Linked DNA regions of Drosophila melanogaster. The protein of the gene in region 2 purifies or fractionates together with the protein of the main gene of each other region. This does not show direct contact. Each region holds a gene or a part of one and is shown on either strand. Other genes may lie near its edges. The genes, in order: Cnx99A and EMC1.

Region 1 (7,364 bases), about 21 Mb from region 2:
ACGTTTTATTGTGCTCGAAGGGTTCTGGGAAGTCGCAGCCTTTGACAAACGAAAGTCAAAATATTTTTATTAAAATTAAAATGCTTACGCAGACAAAGGTTTGTGGTTCCATTTTTTCATTTTCGGTTGCAATGGCAACCCTTGGAGCCTTTGTCTATGCATGAATTATTATGGAGCATACCCCGGCTGACGCATCCCATACATACGACGTATATTATTAATATGCAACGCAGTCTAGCCGCAAAATTTTAATCCTTTTAAGTGAGGCCGCCAGACATCGGGCAAATCGTTTAATCTTTTTATTGAATAGCCCTTGGAGTTTTGGGCAATCGAAGGAAAGAGTTTCACATCTGTTTGGCGGACATAAATCTAATTTCGAATGTCCCGCCTGTGTGTGACTGACTGAGACATCCCAACTCCTCCTTTTGGCGAATGCAAATCGTCGTCGGCTTACTGTTGTCATAACAATTCCATTAACGAGGACTGTCTGTCTGATTTGGCATATTTATGAGCTTAGGAAATTGAATTGAATTATTCAGAGCGACAAAAAGGAGGCCTCTAATACATGATGGTATCATTTGCTGAAAATGAATTCTATTGGCGGGGATTTCCTTCTTTCTTGACTCGCAAAATGATTGTTAAATGTATTCTATACCAGATCGATCCAATCGGCCAAATAATGAAAACATTTTGGCATTTGGCATTTGGCAAATGCCCCAAAACCGCACGAATGCAATGTGTCTGGTCTGGTCTGGTCTGGTCGGCGCCCCACGCACCATCGAGCATAATAAATCCGATTCGAATCTGATCTATCCCAACATCAGGGGTTGACATTTAAATTAACACCCATGTGGTATGGCTGCATGGGGGTTGGAATCAGGACCTGTGCGACAGGACTTGGCTCAGTCCTTTCGCTTAGCTGCTGGCAGTTGGTTGGATTCAAAGGCTCTTGCTTTGGTTTTGACATTTAGTTTTATTTTTCGCTGTAAATTTTCATCGGTACAAATGAAAATGGAAACTTGAGTATAACTAACATACTATTCAATTTCGTTTAAATTACATAATATTAAACTAGATGCTTGCCATTAGATTTATCTGCTTTAGTTCCCTCTTTGTTTGCTGCTTTAGTTTCAGTTGTAGTTGATTTGTTTCCCTCAATTGTCTAGTTGGTGTTTTCCATTTTTACACAAATCAAAAGGAGGATCATCACTCCAACTAAACACTATAAAGCGGTGCCATCGCGGCTGGCTCTGTGTAAGGGTGCTATATATGTATAGGAGATATGGGGACGACAGAGGGTCGAACACGACAGAAATGCAACGATAATACGGCAAAAGTACGTACAGAGTTGACTAAACCGAAACGAGTGTGTGTGTGGTGTGTGTGTGTAGTTTGTGGGAGATGTCGGCTGCCTTGGCGAACAAACATTTTGGTTGTTGCTGCTTCGCAACCGCTGGCTTTTGGAATTGGATTAAGTTTTTTTTTTTCTTTAGAGTTGCAGTGTTTGTTTTCGGATTCGGCATGTGGGGATGCCCGCTTACTCCTTGCGCGCTTGACGCTTGCGTGTTTTTGTGTTAGATTCCTAAAGAGAATAACGTTGAGATTAGTTCTGGTGGTGGACACAAGCAAGCTTATTTTTGAACGCACCTCAGTCTGTGCGGGCTCTCGGCTCTCCGCCGCCTTGGACTCCTCTTCGTTATCATCTAAATCAGACTTTTGGTTCTTCTTGGGACTAGCGGACAGCGGTGTGCTCTCCTTGCTGGTATCGCCAGCGGCCCTTTCGTCGCTCTCCTCCTCGGCCTCGGGCTCATCGTCGGGCTGAGGATCGTCGGACTTCTTGGCCTCGGCAGCAGCCTTTTTGGCAGCCGAGTCCTAATAGCAAAAGTGGGATTAGTAAATTCCTTATGAAGATCTCAAGTGAAAGCTCGAGCATCATTACCTGACTCTTAGCGGTACCAAATCTACAGTAGATGGTGAGGGCAACCAGCGCCACAATGGCCACCAAGCCAATGCCCCAGATCGAGGGATTGGCCTTGGCTAGCTCGACTACCTTATTCACGAATGAGTCCTATTAATGAGAAAGCCAAAGAATAGCAGTAGCAATTACAGGTGCACGGTGCAGGGCAAATATGAGAGGTGTTCATGTGGTTGTACTGTAGGCACTTCTAATTAAAATTTGAAAGCGTAAGACAAGACCGGAGCCAACCTCTTTGGCGCGTCGGTAGAGATAGAAGACATAACAACTGGCCGGAATGAGCAGGTACACGAAGTACAGGGCCCACCAGCCGGGCTTGTAGTTCATGCGGCGCATTAGGCGGTGCCAGAAGGTTTTCTTCGAATTGGATAGAGAAGTCTCTCGATTACGAATCCCTGTGTTTATTTGTGAAGGGAAAACGGAAGAGGTTAGGGGTTTTAAACTTACCGATTCACGATCGATGTAGCGACGCTTGATGTCGAAGCTGTTGGCGGCAAAGTCACGGGCCACCTCCACGTCGTCCGTGATGATTAGGTTGTCGAAGAGAATATCGCTGGACATGGACCACAGTTCCAGACCCACAGCGCTCTAAATAGAGTTAGTTTGGCTATAGCAAAGTGGACAACGAAAGCCATGCAAATTGCACTTACGATGGGCGTCATTTGGAAGGGCTTCAGATCCTCAAAGAAGTCTGGATTGGGAATCTTCCTGGGTGCCCACTTGCCCTGGTAGTTGGGGTTCTCGATCATTGGTGCACGCCACTTGCCCTTGTAGTTGGGATTGGGGATGAGCGGAGCCTTCCACTTGCCACAGCCGGGAGCCTTCTCGCACACTGGATTGTCCACCAATGGAGCCTCCCACTCGCCATCGATTTCGGCATCCCAATCCTCGGGTTTGGTGGCAGTTGGATCGAAAATCATGTCGGGCTCATCTTCGAGCCAGCCATTGGGCATGACGGCATCGGTATCGGGCAACTGGGGTGGAGCATCCTCATCCCAATCCTCGGGCTTGTGGGCAGTGGGATCTGGGATCTTCTCTCGCTCATCCCACGATTCGGGCTTGTGGTCATTGGGGTCGTCGATCTCTGCCGGCGGGTTGACTGGTGGCTTGAAATCGGTTAGCAGGGAACCCTCATTGATGATCTTGTGGTCAACGCGAATCTCAAAGCTGTTATCGGGACGGACCACCAGCTGGTAGAGATGGGGTAGCTTGTCCTTGAATGGCTCTTCCAAACGGTTCCTGAAAGCAAAGAACAAAAGAATATTATTCATCGATGGGATTATAAATATACGGTTTATCTGCCTCTTCAGAAATTCAGCTCATCAATGGGGGCAATAGTCCACCATCGGTGACGAAGAGCCAAACGGGTGATAAAGGTGAGCAAAGGTGATTTCGGAGATATTACACGTATGCGCAATGTCGAACACCAATTTTGTTTCTATACAACGCTCGGAAACTTTCAAGCAAGATGGTTAGAGTGGTGATTCTATTGATAGCGATAACGCTTGAACGAGCTGCTCATTTCCAATCTGCCAAAGAGTTGCGTTCATTTAATGGACTCACTTTGGCTTGTTGCAGTGCTTCTCGGTGATGGTGCCATTAATTGGATTGACGTGCCGGAATATGAAGTGCATTTTCACATCGTTGCCGCACTTGTCCGGTCCAAACATGATGGTATAGGGTGTCTTGTCATTGAACTACGAGTAAACAGATTCGGTTTCGGGGGTTGTTTACGATGTATGTTCTTTGGGGTTCAGGCGAGTGTGATCTATGAGGGCATTGGCCCCCGCACTTACCGCTTTTAGTTGCTCCGTGTCTTTTCCGGCGGACAAAAGCTTCAGATACGAGCCACCGCACTCCTGACCCTCCTAAAAACAAAAAAACAAAAACAAAAAAACGAGAATAAGCCGGGGGAGAACGAGAATTGGGTCAGTAAGCGGGTATTAATTGGATTTGCCCGGCGGCTGATGCAATCCCAGAGCGTTTCGCTAGGTGACGAACCTGCAACGTGACCTCGTACTGCACCACCAGCGGCTTGTCCGACTTGAACTCGAACGGTTTGCGGAGGGGGGCGGCTATGGCCGCGTGTTTGGCCTTCGACTTGAGCACCAGACCCAAGTCGTTAGCCCAAACGATGCGCTGCGGCGACTCCCAGTTCCAGATGCCGTCGTACTTGGAGATCTCCTCGGCGATGTCGTCCTTCTTGGCCTGCGACAGCACCCACCTCTTCCTGGACTCCTCCACGTCGTCGAAGTGATCCGCGAAGTGGAACTTCTTGGCATCGATAACCGGGCTCTCGTAGGCCAGCTTCTCATCGCCACCGATGACGGCGGGCTCCTCCTGCAAAGCATATGTGGAAACATTAGATAAGGTGCCATAAAATCCGAAGCACGCGGTTGTCAGTGGGGAAAGTGATAAAGAGAGGGAGAGAAAGATGGGTGGCCAGCATGGGTTTGAATTGGAGAGCGCTACACCTGGGCCCGCCAGACTAGTTATAGCTATATAATAACATGTTTTATGTTGCTCTTAGCTTGACCTCATCTGTAGCAGTAACTCCCCTAGAAACATAAATGACTGGCATAATTTCTAGAGAAACAAGCACGTTAAATAGAAGCTCTGCTCAATAAACCTCTGATGTAACCTGTGGAGCAACAGATTAGCGCATTCTTGGTGCTGCCATGGGGAGTTGCTATCTGCTTGACCTCGTCTGTTGGTAAACAGTTTTATTTTCCCTCGCATTCGGATTTGTTGCTGGAAAAGTGAGACACACTCGCATGCTAATTGTGGGTCATAAAGCGAAGAAGCCGGCCGCACCAACACCCCCCTCCCCCACAACCACCTTCCCCTACCCTCACAGCAATAGCGTTTCGCCTTTTCTTCTAGTAGCTTCCACTGACGTGTACTTTTTTCTCTCGTTTTTTTTATCTTACGAACCGCATCGTCGGACCAACTACTCACCTGCACATCCTCCACATAACCATCCTCGAAGTCGTCCGACTCCGTGTCCAAATCGGCGGCATTGGCCGCACTCAGCAGCAGCAAACTGCTGGCGAAGAGCAACGCCAGCGTTGCGGCCCGGTTTCCTCCCATTTTCCACGCCATTTTCACCCACTTTTCGCTCGCTCGCTGGCTGCCTGGCTGGGATTTAGTATCCGCGGAAAACCAGGTGGTGGACTCACTTGTGCGCGCTGTGCTTTTCAACAGTTTTCCCCCACTGCGGTCTGTTGCGGAATAACAAGAATCGAGATCTGGCACGACGAACTATTTGTAATTAAATTAATGTAAATTATACATTTTCTCTGCTGCGCTGCCTACTGTGTTCTGTGCTTCCTCTTCGCCTGCTTTGGTATGCCGCCGCAAAGGACAACTGGTCACACTGTCGCGTTGCGTTGTACCCTACCGTAGGGTATATATAGTTTTTAAGATACTTACTCAAGCTAGAATCTTTAATAATTGCACGTTCTTAGGAAGAGCACACTTTCAGCGGGACCAGAATATAATTGATTTGATGATTATGTTTGTGCTAAATAAAAGTAAGGAATATGTCAGATTTATTAATTTTATATACTTATTTGCTATTTAATAAATTAAGAATACTTTTGTTACCTTAAAACCACCCTCATGACCTCCCTAACCTGGTTTTGACCTAGAAAGTCTTAGTTTTAAAATTCATTAGAATAATCAAATAAATAATAATTACTATGTTATATCAACTATTATAATTCTCCCTATCATTTTTAGGATTAAAAATCTGTTAGTCTTAAGTAACCAAGACACATTGTAAAATAAAATAATTTAAGCAGATCAAATTAAGTTGCCGCATGGGTAACAGTGCGTTGATCAAATAATAAAAACATCATCGTAATCGTTACCTTAAGCATATCGATATGCCTCACTCCAATCGTCGTTACAGGGTTTGGAACTCCGATAAGTTTGTAGTACAGACTTACCCCCAGACGCTAATTGAATGTTGCATACTTTTCACTGCTAATCATAATTAATACATGATCATAATACAGAATGAAATATATAAACAAATACAATGTTATAAATAAAGAATAAATGGTTACAAGGGGAAAGAAAGCTGCATGTTTTCATTTGAGACATATAAATTCGCATAAACCACCATAAAATAATCGTTTTTCAGCCATAACTTGAGAAATATTGTCCGAAATATGGATTGTCATACCTTGTTGGACTCGTAATCGAACTCCCCTTCCAACCAAAATCAAATTTTGGAAAAAAAATTTTGAGCCAAATTTTGCAAAAAATGATGATGGTACCCCTTACAAAAAATTCAAAAATGGCCAAAATATGGATTTTGGAAAAACGGTCAAAAAGTTATATGCCCTGTTAGTTTAGGTCAAAAGATGTACAAAAAAGTTAGTTTCGTAGATTTCTGACTATTTTGAGCCAAGTAGTGACGAAAAACGTCTAAGAAAATACGTAATTTCCATATTGACAGTTTTGCCTTAATAAATTTGCACGGAAATTCGCAAACCAGTTAAAGCCTATTTTTGTTAATTATGTATGCTAATTTTTAAATTAATTTCAATCGGAATTAGGATTATCTAGGACTCGTAGCAGGCACCACTCTAGTATTTTGTTATTTTCCCTCGCCGACCATATTGAAATTAATATTTGTGCGATGTGCGATTTCCACTGAAATATTGGCATACATTTATTTTCCACTGGACATATCTGAATCAAACACTCCGTGGCATGAAAGTAGTCTTGCATGTTGCAATTATTTTAAAAGCCCGGCGGCTCAATTAATGCCCCACAACGGGAATGGCTAAGCCCCCCAATAAACTTGATGGCTGGCGGCAAAAGTTTCCCTTTGCCACGCGTGGCTCTAAAAAATAAAGTGGCATGCATTTGAGCATAAAATTATAATAAAAATTCCTAACTTATTGGCAGGATTTGTGTGGGTGGGGTCCATTCGTTGCCACGCCTTCTTTGTGCTGAGAAAATAGGTGTATAAATTTAAGAAAATAACAATAAAATTATTACAAATTAGAAGCATTGAAGGAAACGCACATTTTCCACACAAATGAACAGGTACATATATAATATTCAAGATTAACAGATTTTTCCCAGTGCACATCCTTTAACTGTGGCAACTTATCTGCGGCACGCGCAATTCTGCTGCTGCTTCTATTGCTGCCACTGACAGTTTTTCTTTCTTTTTTTTTGTTTGCAACTGCATACAAAAAGCTTTCTGTTTAATGGAATATTTAACACAATTTAAAAAGTTTTTTTCTAAAGACAAACAAAGACTCGGAAGCACACATGTGGGTGGGTGGTGCATATACATAATAGTGGGGGGCGGGGGGTAGGTGTGTTCGGAAGAAGAGGCAACTTTTGTTGGAGCCTCCGGACTGCAGAA
Region 2 (7,064 bases):
TACAATGTCCTGGTAATTAAAAAGGAAAAGTAGTTAATACCTTTCTACCAAACCACTTAAAATTAATTCATCATTCTTCTTTCTTAAGTAATGAAGTTCCCAAGTTGCGCAATTACTCACATGAAGCAGTTGGAAGAAGTTGGGTTTGCCGGTGTAGAACATGCTGTGGAATGGTCTGCCCGTCTCATCGAATTCCGCAGCCTTGCGGGCGGGGAAGACAACCTCGGGTGACTTCATAGCCGGCCGGGCCTTTTGGTCGTACAATCCGGAAGGGAACAGATAGGATATCGCCTCCTGTAATTGATAATGAGGTAAAATAGCCCCTTAAAATTTTCATAGCCAAATATCTCACGTCTATGTCCTCCTGGGTAAACGTCTCCGCATCGGCGCCCATCATGTTGGCCAGGTGCCGCTTTCCGATCTGGAACTCCAGGTGCTGGGTCTTCATGAACTCGTCGTGTTCGGTGGCTCTTTTCAGGTACGCCCGCATGGCCTTGCTCACCCTTTGCTTCTGGACAGCCGCCGGAGCAGCCTGGACGGTCACATCGGTGGCAAATGGAGCCGCTGCCTGAAAGGTTATGCAAACGTTTGGTCTCACAATTGGGAACAGTGAAAAGTGTCAAGTCTATTGACTTGACTATTGTACCAACCATGTAGCATGGCATCGGTGCCCTGGATTTGCATGCATTTTGCAGCAGATTCCTGTTATTTTTTACTATATTTAAGCCAAAAACACGCAGTGCCATCCTTTCAATTTTGCGGAAGAAGAAGAGAATAAACATATGTTTCAGTCGGTTAAAGTTGGATGGTCGGTGTTGGAAAACACACAAGCTTTCAGCTGATTTTTGGCGCCCATTTAAAAATTTTTTTATTTGTATTTTTAATTTATTAAGCTATAAAACCACAACTTTCTTACAATGTTATAAGACGGTGAAAATTACTTCATTTTTGAGATAAGTATTATAATAATAATTCCTTTTATACTTTACAGGAAATTCTAAAAAAAATTGTCCTAAATAAATCAGGTAATAGACGCTATGAATTTTTGATTTAATTGTATTTTTATTATTTATATTTTTTGTTTTAATTATCAAAAATTTTTTGAATCCACCTCCTAATTAATCCCAACAATCAGTTAATTCTGATGAAAAAATTGTTTATTTACTTTACCGTTGTCCACCTTTACAAATGCTTTTATTGACTATACTTTTTAAACACTCTTTCAATGCTGATATTTTCAAATGGAAATTTAAACGAACACAAATCAAAGGAACAGAACATGCAATGAAAACCTTTCAACAGCTAATTATAGTTATTTGATGTTTAACGCTATATAATTAGTTATAAATAATTGCCTAGGCTTAGCGTTGATAAAAGGTTTTATTCGCATTGTGGGATGTAATGCAGCTATCAGAATTCTGTTATATATATCAATAGTATCTCGCCGATTTACATTCTCTCATCATCATTCCATCCTCCCTTGTGGTATTTGGTCGCAGTACAATTTATATATATTTAAAGCAATTATTTAATAATAATGCCAAGCCTATTTCCACGCCTGCTTGAGCAATTTACGCGACGCTAAATGCTTAACAATCAACGAGCCTGATGTGAGCGCGACTAGCACTATGGAAATGAGAATATAATCAAAGTCCTCCTTCAGCAAGTCGAACGTCTTTGATGGCGCCACGCGCGTAACGAACAAATCTGTCAAATAAAAATGGTTTACAGTGCTTTAACCAAAATCGCGTTTGATAAATCTCCCTTACCTAAGCCCGTAGCAACGACTAGACAGGTACTCTCCAAGCCACTGGGCGCGGTGTAAATATTACGCAGACGGGCAACCGTCTGGTTGTAATTTATGTGGCTCTCTGTTGGCAAAGGCAGCTCGGGTATGTAGGGGATGGCTCCTTCTTCACGTCCCTGAGTCGTGGATGCGATAGGACGTCGGGGATCCAGCAAATGCCACGGCATTTCCACAATGGAACCACTGGCAGTGCCGACTAGAATTAATGACAAATGGTTAGCATCCTATTTGGCGTTCAAATTACTTTCGTTAATGCTCACTAAGCACATGCTTGTTGGTGATTCCGCGCTCCGTGATAGTTTCCCGCAGAGCCTCAACTATTGTGGGCAGTATATAAGACTGGCGCTCCACGAGGGGCATTGGCGGAGCTTGCAAGGAACTCCAAACACTGCTGTTTGCCTGACTCTTGCCCTCGTACAGTTCGATTGTGGCTGTAGCAAGTAAATAAAGTTTAGTAAATATAGGTACTTGTCAATGGCTATCGCTGTTGTAACTTACTAATCTCTGTGCGACGCAATTTCTCGTTGAAGTAGGAGTAGGCAAGCCAGTTTTCGGAGTGGACAATGCTCAGTGGTGCACGGACCTTACGATGCGTCATGGTGAAAACCACAGAGCCGGAGACCACATCAACCAGATACAAATTTAGCACGGCTATGGAGTAAGTGCCATTTAAATGAATGCTTAATTACACGAAGCGCATGCAGACTCACATTTGTGTGTGGAATCCGGTGCCTGTGTGACGAAAGCCACTAGATTAGGGTTGATGTACTTGTACAGCACCGATCGATCGCCCAGCACACGTCCCTGGGAGTGGACATGCTCGATGGGATTCTTGCCGGCAACGCCGATAATCTGCTGCTCGGAATTGTGGCCGCCCAGGCGAGCATTCCAGATGTGCGTGCTGGACAGTTGCTAACGGAAATGGTTTAATAAGTTAAGTGCTTTCATATTAAAAGGCTGCATTACTTACCCCGCCCGCATATTTAACAAAGTAGCCGGCCAGCTCTGCAGTTTTCAAATCGGCGGTGTACAGATACATGCCATCAGCCTGTACGTGCATGTAAAGATTTTCAACTCTATTGATATATCATAGAATTTTATATCTTACCAGTGGGGCCGCATGTTCGGGATAAACATGTACCTTATTCGAAGCATCCAGTAACAGAATGCCCTTCAGAAAGTCCTTTTCCGTTTCTCCCAGCAACGAAAGCTGCTTAATTCTGTAGTCCAGCTGAACAAGGCCACCTTCGGCTACTTTGCCGGTAATAGGATTAAAACGATAGAGCACACCATTGCCGCTGACCTATAAACGATTAGAATTAGCGTGGGAACTATGCGATTTGTCAGTCAGACCTACAGCATTCTTGCCCAAAATAGTGCACAACGGCTGAAGTGGAAAGTGTTTGGCCGAGCGCTGGACAATCAGACGCATCTGTTCGTCGTTAGCGAATCCAATAACATTGGGAAGATGCAGCTGCCAGTGATGTTTCCCAGAGACATTGTCAATGCCAAAAATCTTTCCAGCACGCGTCAGTAAAACCAGCATCTTGTGGAGGCCAAAGGAGTCTCTGACCAAGCCGGCTCGCTGGGTGTCTGTAGGTGGAGGACCCAGTCCGATAACATGAAGGAACAAGCTCCGAATCTGAACAGCTTGAGTGGTGATGCGACGCAAAAAGGCACTGGCAATGTCTCCTGTTTACGTGGTGAAAACATAAATATTAGTAAAGAACAATTTAATATGATCTTTAAACATTAACGATATACCAAAGATATTTCATATTTTAGTTTACATTGGAAATTAATTATTGGACAGTAAAAAAGTAAAAGTAATACACTTAGCTTTAAACTAGCGAAGCATGCTTGAATTTGTTAGTAAACATTCGTTTTTAGATTAGTGGTACGTTCAATAAACATTAAAAAAAAAAACACAAAATTAAAAGTGATAAACATGTAACAAACAATATTGCATGATTAGTTTGCTGTGAACGTTCACTTACTCTCAAAACTTGTGAAATCCCCTTTTGGTATGAATTTTCAATAATAAATTTTATGAGTTCACCTTAAAGTAGTGCATAAGTCAAGTACACTCACCGGCCTTGCCCTTCATCTCGTTCTCCAATGTGCCCTCAGTATCGGCAAGCGGTAGATCCACAAACTGCGAGTCGATCACATTTGCCAGCGACTCCTCGCGCGACCAACGAACGCGTCCATGCTGCACTGCCACGATGGACTCCGAGGTGCTGCTAAACAAAAACAGACAGTTCTTGCCCTCGCCATTGCGCTTCTGCTTACAGTCGAAGTTGCTCAGCGACGGAGTGCCAAAATGCTCGGGGAATGGCAGACTCTGCTCCAACTCCGCTGCCGGTGCACAGTTATCCAAATACAGAGCATTGATCCTGAGGATCTGTTCATACGCACAGGGAAAGAAACAATTAGTTTTCACATAGAAATAGTAGAATAGAACAGTAAATATAAGTTTAAACGTACTCCAGAGGACAGATCTGCATAGGCCAAGACTTTGCGATAGTTAAAGCTGCCCACGGCGAAGCTGGAGCTTCGCAGATCACCGCAGATCGATTGGTCCTTGTTGACACTAATTGGCTTCCCATCCACAATCACAACACCATTCAGACCCTATAGAAATGTTTGGACGAATTATAACTTCACTTACAACAATCTATTACTTCACTTTCAATAAAAGCAATAGCAAAGTTTTTTCCTCACCGTCAAGGCCTGAGTTTTTCCCTTCGGCTCCGCCTCGAGCGAAGTACGGATTACTTGACCGCTTTTGGAAACGAGATCCAAACTAATCAACTGCTTTCCGTCCGTACAAACGTAGAAGGTGCCGCTAAGGGTGCAGCTCTCTGAGGTGATCCAAGGAGCTATTACCTTGCTGGTGCTGCCAGTGCTGTGGCCCGAGCTGGCGAAATACGCCGTCACCTCGAGGTGGCTCCGCCAGGCAGGCAGCACGTGATATAGCACGGATTTGCTGTAGATCCACATGGCGTCCTGGGCCCGCTCCGTGTTCATGGGCATGATGGACCACTCCCACTCAAGGGCACCCATATTGGTGTTCCAGCCGCGCACCAAAGCAGGAGCGTGTCCCTGAACGGTGAGCATGTCGAAGCCCATGTTGCTGCCCATCGGAGCGGCGGCCGTGTCGCTGCTGTCATCGGCGAATCCGCTCACCTGGAGCAGCTTGACGTCGCCGCGCGGCTTCTGCTCGAGCACCTGCCGCCACACCAATTCGCCGGTCTTTACGCACAGACTGGCCACCACTCCCTCATAGGTGGTGACCAGAATCCGCGGCTGAAAATGGTTGAGGTCGACGCGAGACTGCTTCAGTGCTCCCACATTGACGCCTCGCCTGCAAAAGCCGCACATATCCGCCGTATTAGCGCCGGGTCAATGGTCAGATATCGTACCACACTCACCAGTCGAACTTTTTGATCTGGTCTTCGTAGAGCGCCGAGCAGGTGCCCAATAGGAGCGCCAGCGAAAGTGCGGGCAGTAACCACTTCTCCTGCATGTCGTCCGCCTTGCTTGCTGACCTTCGACTAGCTCGATCTCTGATTGTTCAACTTTTGACGTATTTTTATGTTATAAATTAGTAGAAATCCACATCAATTCGTGTTTTCCGTCATGGCAAAAGGGATGAGAAGACGAAATTGGAGCAGGGTTGGCTGACGATTGCCTTATCGATAGTTCAGCGGACTCACATCCGATATTCAAAGCAGTGCGGCTCATCCCCTTTCAACGTACGGCAAACCCATTCGGTCTTCACCTTTATGATTAAATTTGTTGGTAAAAAGATTAAAAAATAAAATGCCTTGCCATTTTGCGGTATACAGGGCTTATATTTCTGCAGATGCGGCTGCAGTGTGAACCATTTTAAATATTCGTCGTGCTCGCAGCGATAACTGTGACGTGAATGCCATCACTAGCGGTGCCCCATCTAACTCCCATCTCTAATGAGCATTTAGTGTCTTCAAAAGAAGTTGTATTTTTCTGGAAAAATCGCATTGAAATGTTTGAAAAGAAGAGCGACAAGGTTAAGCAAGCGGAGCACAAGGCCCGGGATGATGGCGTAGAGCTGGAGAGCCAGTTTATCATGCGCGTGCCGAAGGTAAGCCATACATAGCACAAACAAACATCACAACAAGCCGTGCAAATTGACGGATTCTCCGCAGGAACTGGCGGACACGGTCCATGAGGCAATAAATGCTGGCACCATTAAGGACCGGCTGACCATCCAACTGGATCCGGATCTGAGGTACGGTGAAGTGCGAATAGATGATCAGATACTGTACACGAAACTCGTGGATTTGCCCACCGTCGTCGAGAGCTACAAGACCATTGACAACAAGAGCTTCTACAAGTCGGCAGACATCTGCCAAATACTCATTTGCAAGGAGGAGCGGGAGGACGAGACGGAAAAGGAGTCGCCCAACAAGAACAAAAAGAAGGACCCCAACAAGGTGGACAAAAAATACCTCTTTCCGCACGGCATCACACCGCCGTGCAAGAATGTGAGAAAACGACGATTCCGCAAAACTCTGAAGAAAAAGAATGTCGAAGCTCCCGAGATTGAGAAGGAAGTGAAACATCTGCTGCGCATTGACAACGAGGCTGTCAGAGTTGACTATGAAATCATAAACGAAGAGGACAAGCCAATGGATGAACTGGAGCAATCGGACATCAAACCCTACAACGATGCGGATGACGATTTGCAGGACGAAAGCACCATGCATGCCAGCGAAAAGACGATCATGGAAATGAGCTCCCAGCGGCACCTCCAAGTGGAGTCCGATGATGACGAAGCCAGCAACTTTCCCTCACACCGGGCGCCGAACATGGGAGTTGCTGTCCACGACATCTTCGGCGAGGAAGTGTCCAGCACGGATGACGAGGATGAGCCCGATCGGGGCAATAACACCATGCAGCGGCGGGTGATGGAGGAATCCTCACGACTCTCGGCTGATGATTCACGAATGTCGGACTTCTTTGGCGCTAGTGGCAGTAATACTGGAGCGGGCGTAGTGAAAATGGAGCAGAACGTGTTCAGCAAGTCTATGTTTGGGCATGAAGCCAGCAGTCCTAAGCTCAGCGCCGCCGGATCAAGCTCCAACCTTGCTGCTCCCAGTGGCTTCTACGATAGCCAAATGCTAGCCAAGCGCGAGGAGTTCGAGAACATGGAATTCATAGACGAACCGCAGCCGCAGTACACGCAGCAACAGGTCCAGCAGAAGATCAATCA

The links.
Region 1: the proteins of EMC1 (region 2) and Cnx99A purify together in Drosophila melanogaster (affinity purification with western blotting, with the first as the bait; one study listed by BioGRID). This does not show direct contact.

The regions. Positions count from the first base shown.
Region 1 is NT_033777.3:29,314,298-29,321,661, forward strand, and holds Cnx99A (calnexin 99A), read right to left. Parts: upstream 5,348-7,364; 5' UTR 5,291-5,347; exon of another isoform or gene 5,237-5,290; 5' UTR 5,078-5,236; coding exon 4,934-5,077; intron 4,316-4,933; coding exon 3,977-4,315; intron 3,844-3,976; coding exon 3,772-3,843; intron 3,673-3,771; coding exon 3,539-3,672; intron 3,215-3,538; coding exon 2,626-3,214; intron 2,564-2,625; coding exon 2,423-2,563; intron 2,333-2,422; coding exon of another isoform or gene 2,207-2,332; intron 2,069-2,206; coding exon 1,940-2,068; intron 1,873-1,939; coding exon 1,648-1,872; intron 1,583-1,647; coding exon 1,538-1,582; 3' UTR 957-1,537; downstream 1-956.
Region 2 is NT_033777.3:7,901,887-7,908,950, forward strand, and holds EMC1 (ER membrane protein complex subunit 1), read right to left. Parts: upstream 5,478-7,064; 5' UTR 5,337-5,477; coding exon 5,242-5,336; intron 5,175-5,241; coding exon 4,532-5,174; intron 4,442-4,531; coding exon 4,295-4,441; intron 4,212-4,294; coding exon 3,899-4,211; intron 3,826-3,898; coding exon 3,805-3,825; intron 3,500-3,804; coding exon 3,165-3,499; intron 3,111-3,164; coding exon 2,916-3,110; intron 2,856-2,915; coding exon 2,778-2,855; intron 2,720-2,777; coding exon 2,518-2,719; intron 2,459-2,517; coding exon 2,306-2,458; intron 2,239-2,305; coding exon 2,068-2,238; intron 2,004-2,067; coding exon 1,770-2,003; intron 1,708-1,769; coding exon 1,547-1,707; 3' UTR 1,144-1,546; downstream 1-1,143. Other genes in the region: mRpS9 (mitochondrial ribosomal protein S9), read right to left, coding at 1-9, 121-294, 353-568, 651-746; Taf7 (TBP-associated factor 7), read left to right, coding at 5,739-5,933, 5,998-7,064.